Linked DNA regions of Mus musculus. The protein of the gene in region 2 purifies or fractionates together with the protein of the main gene of each other region. This does not show direct contact. Links are inferred from orthologs where the notes say so. Each region holds a gene or a part of one and is shown on either strand. Other genes may lie near its edges.

Region 1 (3,814 bases), about 34 Mb from region 2:
TCATCTCCCCTCTGTCTCTTATTCCCTGCCCTTTGTCCCTCTGGGACAAATAAATCTCATTTGTCCTAAGAGCACGGTCTTGGGGTGTCTCGAGCCAACTTTGAGTCCTACAGGCACAGAGGCCTGAGACTAAGGTCAGGAACCTCCCTTGGTCCTTCTGCCTTATTCATTAAAATAGGATCTCTTAATCAAACAATATATCTTGTCTTGTCAGCCAGCTTGTGCAGGGGATCCCATCTCTACCTTCTTCCACCATAGTTTATATGGGACTTGAGGACCCTAGCATTTCAGAAAGCACAACCACACAAGTAGAGCATACGCAGTGTAAGCTTAGTGAAGAAAATTCTAGCACTATCCACTCCACCACATCAGTCTATCCGATAGCCAGGAGGGGCTCAGAAGGAGCCTGGGAAGTGTGAGCACTTGCAGGACCAGGCCACCTCAGCCATGACCACCCCTACAAAGCAGTGCCAGCCTGAGGGAAGACCTGGACATTTTAGCTGTGGTTTTCTTGCTTCCAAGGCAAGTACTTTAGCTGCTGTGTCATCTCTTTGACCTTTAGTATAAACTCGTAAAATTAAAGTTCCTCTGTCTTGTCAAAAGATCCCCCTAAAGATGAGCAGGAAGATTGCTCAGCAGTTACAAGTAAGCACTGCTCTTCCAGGACTTGAGTTCAAGTCATAGCACCTCTTATAGGCAGCTCACAACTGCACATAACTCCAACTCCAGGGGATCTGATGCTTCCTTACGCACCAGCATCCACATTTAAACACACATGCTTAAAAATGATCAAAAAACAAATCATGAAAAAGAAGATACCTAAGGGTAAACAACTGATTCCACAGGAAAAAATATTCTATAGCACTTTGGAAAATATCGCAAGAAATCACAATTTATGTTATTAATGCTACAGTATTTATTGTCTGTACTTACCTGAGGAACATTGCTGTCAACCCACTTGGAATTTGGTAAGATATCATCCCACAAAATCAAGCACCGAGCAAGTGTCTTAAAAATGAATTACAGACAAAATTAATCAGGCAAAGCTCATGTATTTCCCAATAACTGTAACAGTAAACAAACTAAGAATTCGTTCCCAACTAACAACTACTTTAAAACACAGACTATCAACTAAATATATCAAAATAAAGACTTAGATCTTAAAGAAAAATTTAGTTCATCACGATCCAAGTATTGAGGGTTTGGAGAAGGCCTTCTTATACTGTGAAAGAAAAATCACAAAGGAAAGAGCCACAGCTCAGCATACATGTCAATCTAAAAGCTTGCTAAGTTCAAACATAAAAGAAATACAGAACAATTTTACACAGTACTAAATGGTTATTCTAACTACAACCATAACAGTACTACTACATCCCCAAGGATACTAAAAATAACAAGATCCTGGTCACATGCTGCCTTTTAGTGGGTTTTTAATAATAATAATATAAGAAATGTCATTACAAATGTCATTATTATCTATCACAGTGGCCACCTTTCCTAGCCCTTCTAAGTTCTTTTTGGGAAACTTCAAAAGAACATTGCTAATCAGAAAAACATGACAGGCTAAAGTAAACCCTTTCGTGGAAAGGCATTTAGATTTGCAGCTAAACTTGAGGATCACATACAGTGCTCCCCTCATGTCAAGAAAAACGAAAATGACAAAGTACCATACCCTAAGCAAAAGGAATTCTGGTTTCACAAAGTCTAGCAAATACATGGTATCAGGAGCACGCAGCCAATCAGCAATGGACCTGTTGGCAGAGGACACCAGTCAAGGAAGAGGTCAGGTATTCAAATATCAAGACATCAAATCATCTCTCTCCTCCAACAAAGGTCTAGCTTTTTCATAATGTTTCACAAATGCTTATGTAATATTTATGTTTTTATGTCTTACTATATAAATAAGTTCCATGAAGGTCTGTTTAGTTTGCCTTGTTCGTTGAAATATCTCCAATATCAGCTGACATACATTCATCCAAATAGATTAATAATATCTTTTGCCACTTTGTTAATTCTGCATAGAATTTTCCCAAATGTAAGAATTGAGAACACTGGAGAATTTCATGTCTCAGAATATTTTTCAAATTAAAAGTATTAAGGTGATCTGAGGACATAACTCAGGACAGATTGGGAATATAGAAGGTTTAATCACTAGAAAAGCTTCTAAACAAAGCAGAAACCATTTTTATTAATGGTAACCAAGTACAAAATAATGCTAAGTATTCCTGGCTGAACAGTACTCACAAGGATATGCAAAATTACTGAAAGGAAGTAGGCCGTTCTTTGGGCTTGCCCTCTATAACCTTTTCTTCCACATCCACTTGAAAATACCAGAGGGGAGAAAAACTGACATTTAAATTAAACACAGATGGTCTTTTGATTTTTGAATCATGTTTCTCTATACAATACAGCATTAACAACCATTTATATGGTAAATACAAGCATATTTCATATTATAATTAATCTATAGATTTAAAGTAGCAAGATGAAGTGAATAAATTACATGTACATCTCATGTATTTATGTGACAGGCCTGAACATTTGTGGGTTCTAGTGTCTGTACAGTTCTGGGACCAATACCCTGAAGACACTGAGACAGGATTCCTGACGCACACCATTCCCAAAGAAAACAGTGCTACACAAAGTCTACTCAGCCCCATTACCCAAGAGAACAGACATCAGGCTGCTCTAGTACAAATGAGGAGATTGTACTGCTGAGGGCAAAAAGGCTGCCATGTATCATGCAGGACAGGTGAGGGTGCTAATACCTGTTATTGGTTTTTAAGTAGATCATAGCCAACGCCAGAGTAGCACCGGGACAAGTCACATCCACGTTTATGGTGTCTCCTTCCTGGGGAGGAAAGTTACTCATGTAAGAGCTCCAGCACACTTATCGCTGTTGGTAGCAAAGCCACTGCTGTGCAGCTGACATCTCAGCCTGTGGCTCTGATCCTTTCCTCTGACTTCACTTACTTTGATCTGATAACTTGGAGACTTATGTTTCTCCCTGTGCATTCCAGTTTGAAATCGCCTATGGCCTCCAACCATGTACTGATACAGCTGCTCAGGCACATTGAGATCAGACATGCCAATCAAATTGCTGCCATGCTGGAAAAATTAAATAACTGAGATGAAAATAAGCCTTAACAGGAGGAAGTCAGGAATACACACTCATGATAAACAAAGGGACACAATTCAGAAGAGCCTATTTTAATTTTGATGTTTCTTCCAATTTCAATAAACATACACATTAATTAATGCCAAGCTATTAATTCTCATAAAATTATAATGTATTTTTAGATCTATATACTTTTGTTTCATAAAATATATGAAAAAAATCAAAAGACGTAATTAGACTAAGAGTAAAAGAAAATATCAAGTACATATTCAAAACCTGAACTGTGAACACCCGAGTACTTTCATTACTGCACCAGTGATCTCCTCAAGCAACCACAATAACTTATTGAATACTTACTCAATACCGTATTTAAAATGAATTCACTCAACTCAGAAGCCCTATTTGTCCTTCTCAGTTTTACTTGTTACAGCCTAAAGTCACCTGAAAGAAAAGTCTCAACTGAGGAATTGTCTAGGTGAGAGTGGCCTGTGGACATGTCTGGGGGTGCCTATGACCTTGATTATGAATTGATGTAGGAGGCTCCAGCCCACTGTGGGTGGCACCATCCCTAGGTAAGTGGTCCTGGGTTATAAAACAACACTAGCTCAGCATGAGCCTGTGGGCAAGCCAGACAGTAAGCCAACAAGCAGCACTCCTCCATGGTTTTTGCTTCTGGTTCCTGACTTGAGCTCCTGC
Region 2 (4,539 bases):
AGAAGAGAAGGAATTGTATTCTGTGGTGTGATTGCTACTCAGCGCCTCCTAGCAGCGCTTGGCAACGGCGTCTGGCATATATGATAAGGAAGGAGTAAGGCTTAGCTTAGGACGGAGTTTTTGAATTGGTCTCTCAGCGTCTCTACATTTACTTAATACCTGTGATTGCAGATAAGTAACTTTCCCACTCTGAGCCCCAGATTCTTAAGTGTAAAATAAAATAAAAATGATGATGGCACCTACCTCGGGGGGCTTTGGTAAATGCTGGATGTGACGTAGCGATACCAGAAGGTCTTCAACAAATAGGGATCCTCTCGCTCCCTTCAGACAGAAGCTCCAGGGAGCTTGGCAGCTTCCAGCCAGTAACATGGACCCTGCCTACTTGCAAAATCAGGTGCAATGGCTGCTGTTTCGTGCCCACCCTCCTTCCCTCCTGCTCGCCTTGTTTGTTCACTTATTTCCTAGGCTTTCCTCCCTAAAACACAGAATATGTTATAGATGTCTATCATTAAAAGTCTAAAGCTGTGGTATAAACAGGTAGACAGGGTCAAAAAAAAAAAAAAAAACGAGTGTTTAAAACTTGCAATCCAGAATCCCCCAAATTTCAGTCCCAATTATTTTGCTTTTCATGGCTGAAGAGTTTGTACCACTTAGAAATATTTACTCTGATTTTACGTGTATGGTTGCTTTTGCTGGAATGTTTGTGGGCACCACGTGTATGCAGTACCTGTTGATGCCACCAGAGGGCTTCTGATTCCCCCCCCCCCAAGCGGCACCCCCCCCCCAAGCAGCCCTGCCCCCCCCAACTGAAGTTCCAGATGATTGTCAGACACCATGTGAGTGCTGGGAACTGAACCTGGGTGGTAGGCAAGAGCAACGAGTGCTCTTAACCCTGCGCCATCTCCCCACCCCCACCTTTGCATCATATTTATTTATTTATTTATTTATTTATTTATTTATTTATTTTTGTAGTTTTTCGAGACAGGGTTTCTCTGCATAGCTCTGGCTGTCCTGGAACTCACTTTGTAGACCAGGCTGGCCTCGAACTCAGAAATCCCCCTGCCTCTGCCTCCTGAGTGCTGGGATTAAAGGTGTGTGCCACCACGCCCGGCTTACTTGGGGCTGGAGAGATGGCTCAGCAGTTAAGAGCACTGACTGCTCTTCTGGAGGTCCTGAGTTAAAATCCCAGCAACCACATGGTGGCTCACAACCATCTGTAATGGGATCTGATGTCCTCTTCTGGTGTGTCTGAAGACAGCTACAGTGTACTTACATTAAATAAATAAATAAATAAATAAATAAATAAACAAATAAATAAACAAACAGACAAATCTCTTGTTTCAAATACTGGAGAGATCAAGAAGAGTGGCTTATTCAAAAAACTTTGTTTCAAAAACCAGCCCCACGTAGCAGGTGTCTCAGAAGAAGCTGAAGATGGCCTTTCTAATCCAGCTAGATGCCTGGTCTCAGCAAGTCCAGGTCTCAACACTGCACTGCACTCTGGGGGCTATAGGTGCCACCAAGACAAGGGGCTCTCATGAGGCTTATACTTTAAAGATAAAGGATGAGGTTGGAGCTGGGACGGATTTGAAAGATGTTGTGTGACGATGGTATTTGAAACAGAGAAATGACTACAGGGAAAAGAGTGGAGCCTTGGAGAACCCAAACATGTTGGGAGGGCAAAGGGGACCCGTGTCAATGAGAGAAAAGCATTGAGTGAGACCCTTCTGGAACATAATGATAACTGTCAGCCATCAGCCTCAGGCTCTCTACAACTGGCCCGGGAAGTGTCTCTCAAGTGCTCTCTCCCTCGGTCAGCCATACATGATTAGTTCATAGAGGGCTAGAAAGACCCCATGCCTTTACCTTCATTTGAGGGCTCTCTTCCGGGCCATCTCAGGTTCAGGGCTTCCTGCTCCTCAGGCTGAGGCCTCTGCTGGGACTACGCCAGCATTTCAACATCTCTGCCCAATCTTGTTGGTTTCACAAGGCTACTCTCATAAACCTAGTCTATGATTCCAGGGAGTCCTACCTAAAACAAGAGTGGTTGCACACAGTAGATGCTCAATAAACTATTTCTGAATGTGTCCCTGCTGTTGTCACTTGCTGTCGAGTTTTTGATGGATAGACAGGCACACACACACACACACACACACACACACACACACACACACACACACACACCACACCAGAGTTTTTTGAGACCATAATACAAACAGCAGACATCCAATAAAAGCCCCGGTGGTAGGTGCTGGAGAAACAGGGCAGCTAGTGGTGGATGCACACAGCACACTTGGGGGTGGGGTGGGGAATTCCCCCAGCTCGCTCTCTGCCGCAGCTAGCCGGTAGAAGCAGTCCTGAGCGGCTGGAGTCTCCAAAACCACCACCCACCTCCTTGGGACTAATGCAGACAGTCGCGGGAGGGGCGGTCACTGATCTGTCCGCTCTGCAGAAGAGTTACTTTCTAACCGCTAAAATGGCGGAATTCTTTACATCACCCCCCACCCCCCCTTTATTTCCAAAAATTTTAAAATCCTGTTTTCTGCTAAAAATATTGAAGATCAATTACAGTGGAAAGTTTGCCAAATGGCCTATGGATAGCCCACACTCGCCCTCCACACCCTCTTATTAATGGAAACTCTTGATAGCATCTCTCTGCAAGGCCGAGGCTCTGCCCTCCCTACCGCTCTGGATGCAGAGAGTGTCAGTGGGCTCGCTCGCCAGCAGCCAGCAAGCCCCCACCTGCAGCGCCACAGCCCAGAGTCTGCAGAGCCACCTCCCCAGCCCACAGCCGGTGCCGCAGGAGCTGGAAAAGGACCTGGGGCGGTGCCTGCGGGACCCCAGGATTCGCCGTGAGGACCGGGATTGGGGTGTGGCGACCTGGGAGCGCCCAGCCAGAGACCACTGCCCCGTTCTTACCTGCATGGCTAGCGGTTGCCGCCCGCACCGAGCGACCGACCGTGGGAGCCTGGTGCGGCGCGCGCCTGCGCACACAGGGGGGCGGGCCTGTTCCCTGCAGAGCGGGCGCCGAGCTCCTTTGCTGGGGTGGGGGGTCTGCATGGCTATGGCCTCAGGTTGCAGCTTTTGCTTTCCGTCGGAGCCTGGGGGTGCAGGCTTAATTGCCTCTTCCCGTAAAACCCGCTTGCTGCGCTGGAGAAGTGGGTGGAGATTTTTATAGTATCCTGGGAACCACGGAGCCGGGAGAAGCAGGAAGCCTGATGGATCTCCTCCAGCTGGTCTGTACCCGGCAAGGCTGCAACCCTGCCTAAGTCGGGTTCCCCATTTGGAGAAGGGGACTTCAGGAGTTTCAGGGAACTCCTAGGATGGGTGAAGAGCACGCACAGCCAGAGCAAGGAAGCCATGGGCTTGGCTTGGCATCAAGCACCCCAGCCGCACCAGCCTTTGGATGACCTATTAGTTGACGATGTGCCCTGGAAACATCACTGTACCTTCTGCGCTTCCATTGAACATTGGAAGACTATTATGCCATATTCTAGAGTTCGAGAATGGTTCCTTTTGTGTCGATTTGAGCAAATGTGCTCAAAGCAAAAGGCTCCTCTTGTGCCTTCCATTTCCTTAATTGATCTGTCGCTACCAGACCGCTACTTTTATTGGTTCTAACTCTGGCACTGCTACTGCGTCTGTATCATCAGAGACCTGAGTAACTCAGGAGTTTAAGAGACCCTGCACTCTAGGAAGGAAGCCCACCACTTTTTAGTATCCCCGGTTCCGAGCAAAGTGGGTACTAATAAATGTCTTCTGATTGACTGATCCATGTGAAAGAGGTTAACTCTTAGCGCCCCAGTTCCCGCTTACACACTGATTTTTAATTCTACTCCCTTATTTTGCAGAAAACAGGTCTATTTGGCTTAGGTAGTAGCCATCAGCCAAATCTTTAGACTTAGCCCGGATGAAAAATACTCATTTAAATGGTATATTCTTCCAATTGCTGTGATCAAGTTTAAATTTATGTAGATCTTAACTATTCGTTACATGTGTTCTGCTTTGCCTCCATGGTTTTAATCATTTTGTATTTTTAGGAACAAGATTAGTCAGAAAAGGATGGAGATAACCATATCCATAGAAGACTCTTTATACACACATCACTGTTTTCTTATTTCTATCCAGACTCTACTTATTTAAAGATTCCAAAATGGTTAAGTATTAAAGTGGTAAACCTATTTGAACACATGGTTTCTCAATTACAAATCTTTTTTAGTGATTCAAACAGATGCAGTGAATTTGAGCAGGGAGGACCCAGACAGCTCACAGACATCAGTTGCTACTTTTTGCTCTTTTACAGTCACTGGTCTTAATACCTGACTTGCTCATTCCAGCACCCTCAGGGATGGAGAGACCCTTCCAGGCTGAAGTGATGTGGGCAGCTCTGCCCCTATGCTCACTGTACCCTGCGGGCTCCCGCCTGCTTTTAGGAGGAAGTCCAAATGTTTCCTTTATAGTCCACCTTCTTCCCAAGAGTGGGCCCAGATGGTGTTGCCATACAGAGGTGTGGAGGGAATTGTTTGGAAGCAGCCCATA

The links.
Region 1: the proteins of L3mbtl1 (region 2) and Anapc1 purify together in Homo sapiens (affinity purification with mass spectrometry; 4 studies listed by BioGRID and IntAct, counting the BioPlex papers as one, with this or other methods). This does not show direct contact. The link is inferred for Mus musculus from reciprocal best matches to the Homo sapiens genes L3MBTL1 and ANAPC1.

The regions. Positions count from the first base shown.
Region 1 is NC_000068.7:128,631,665-128,635,478, forward strand, and holds part of Anapc1 (anaphase-promoting complex subunit 1), read right to left. Parts: intron 3,109-3,814; coding exon 2,974-3,108; intron 2,852-2,973; coding exon 2,769-2,851; intron 1,752-2,768; coding exon 1,673-1,751; intron 1,009-1,672; coding exon 934-1,008; intron 1-933. UniProt on the Homo sapiens protein: Component of the anaphase promoting complex/cyclosome (APC/C), a cell cycle-regulated E3 ubiquitin ligase that controls progression through mitosis and the G1 phase of the cell cycle.
Region 2 is NC_000068.7:162,941,921-162,946,459, reverse strand, and holds the start of L3mbtl1 (lethal(3)malignant brain tumor-like protein 1), read right to left. Parts: upstream 2,996-4,539; 5' UTR 2,920-2,995; intron 2,033-2,919; 5' UTR 1,867-2,032; exon of another isoform or gene 1-1,866. UniProt on the Homo sapiens protein: Polycomb group (PcG) protein that specifically recognizes and binds mono- and dimethyllysine residues on target proteins, thereby acting as a 'reader' of a network of post-translational modifications.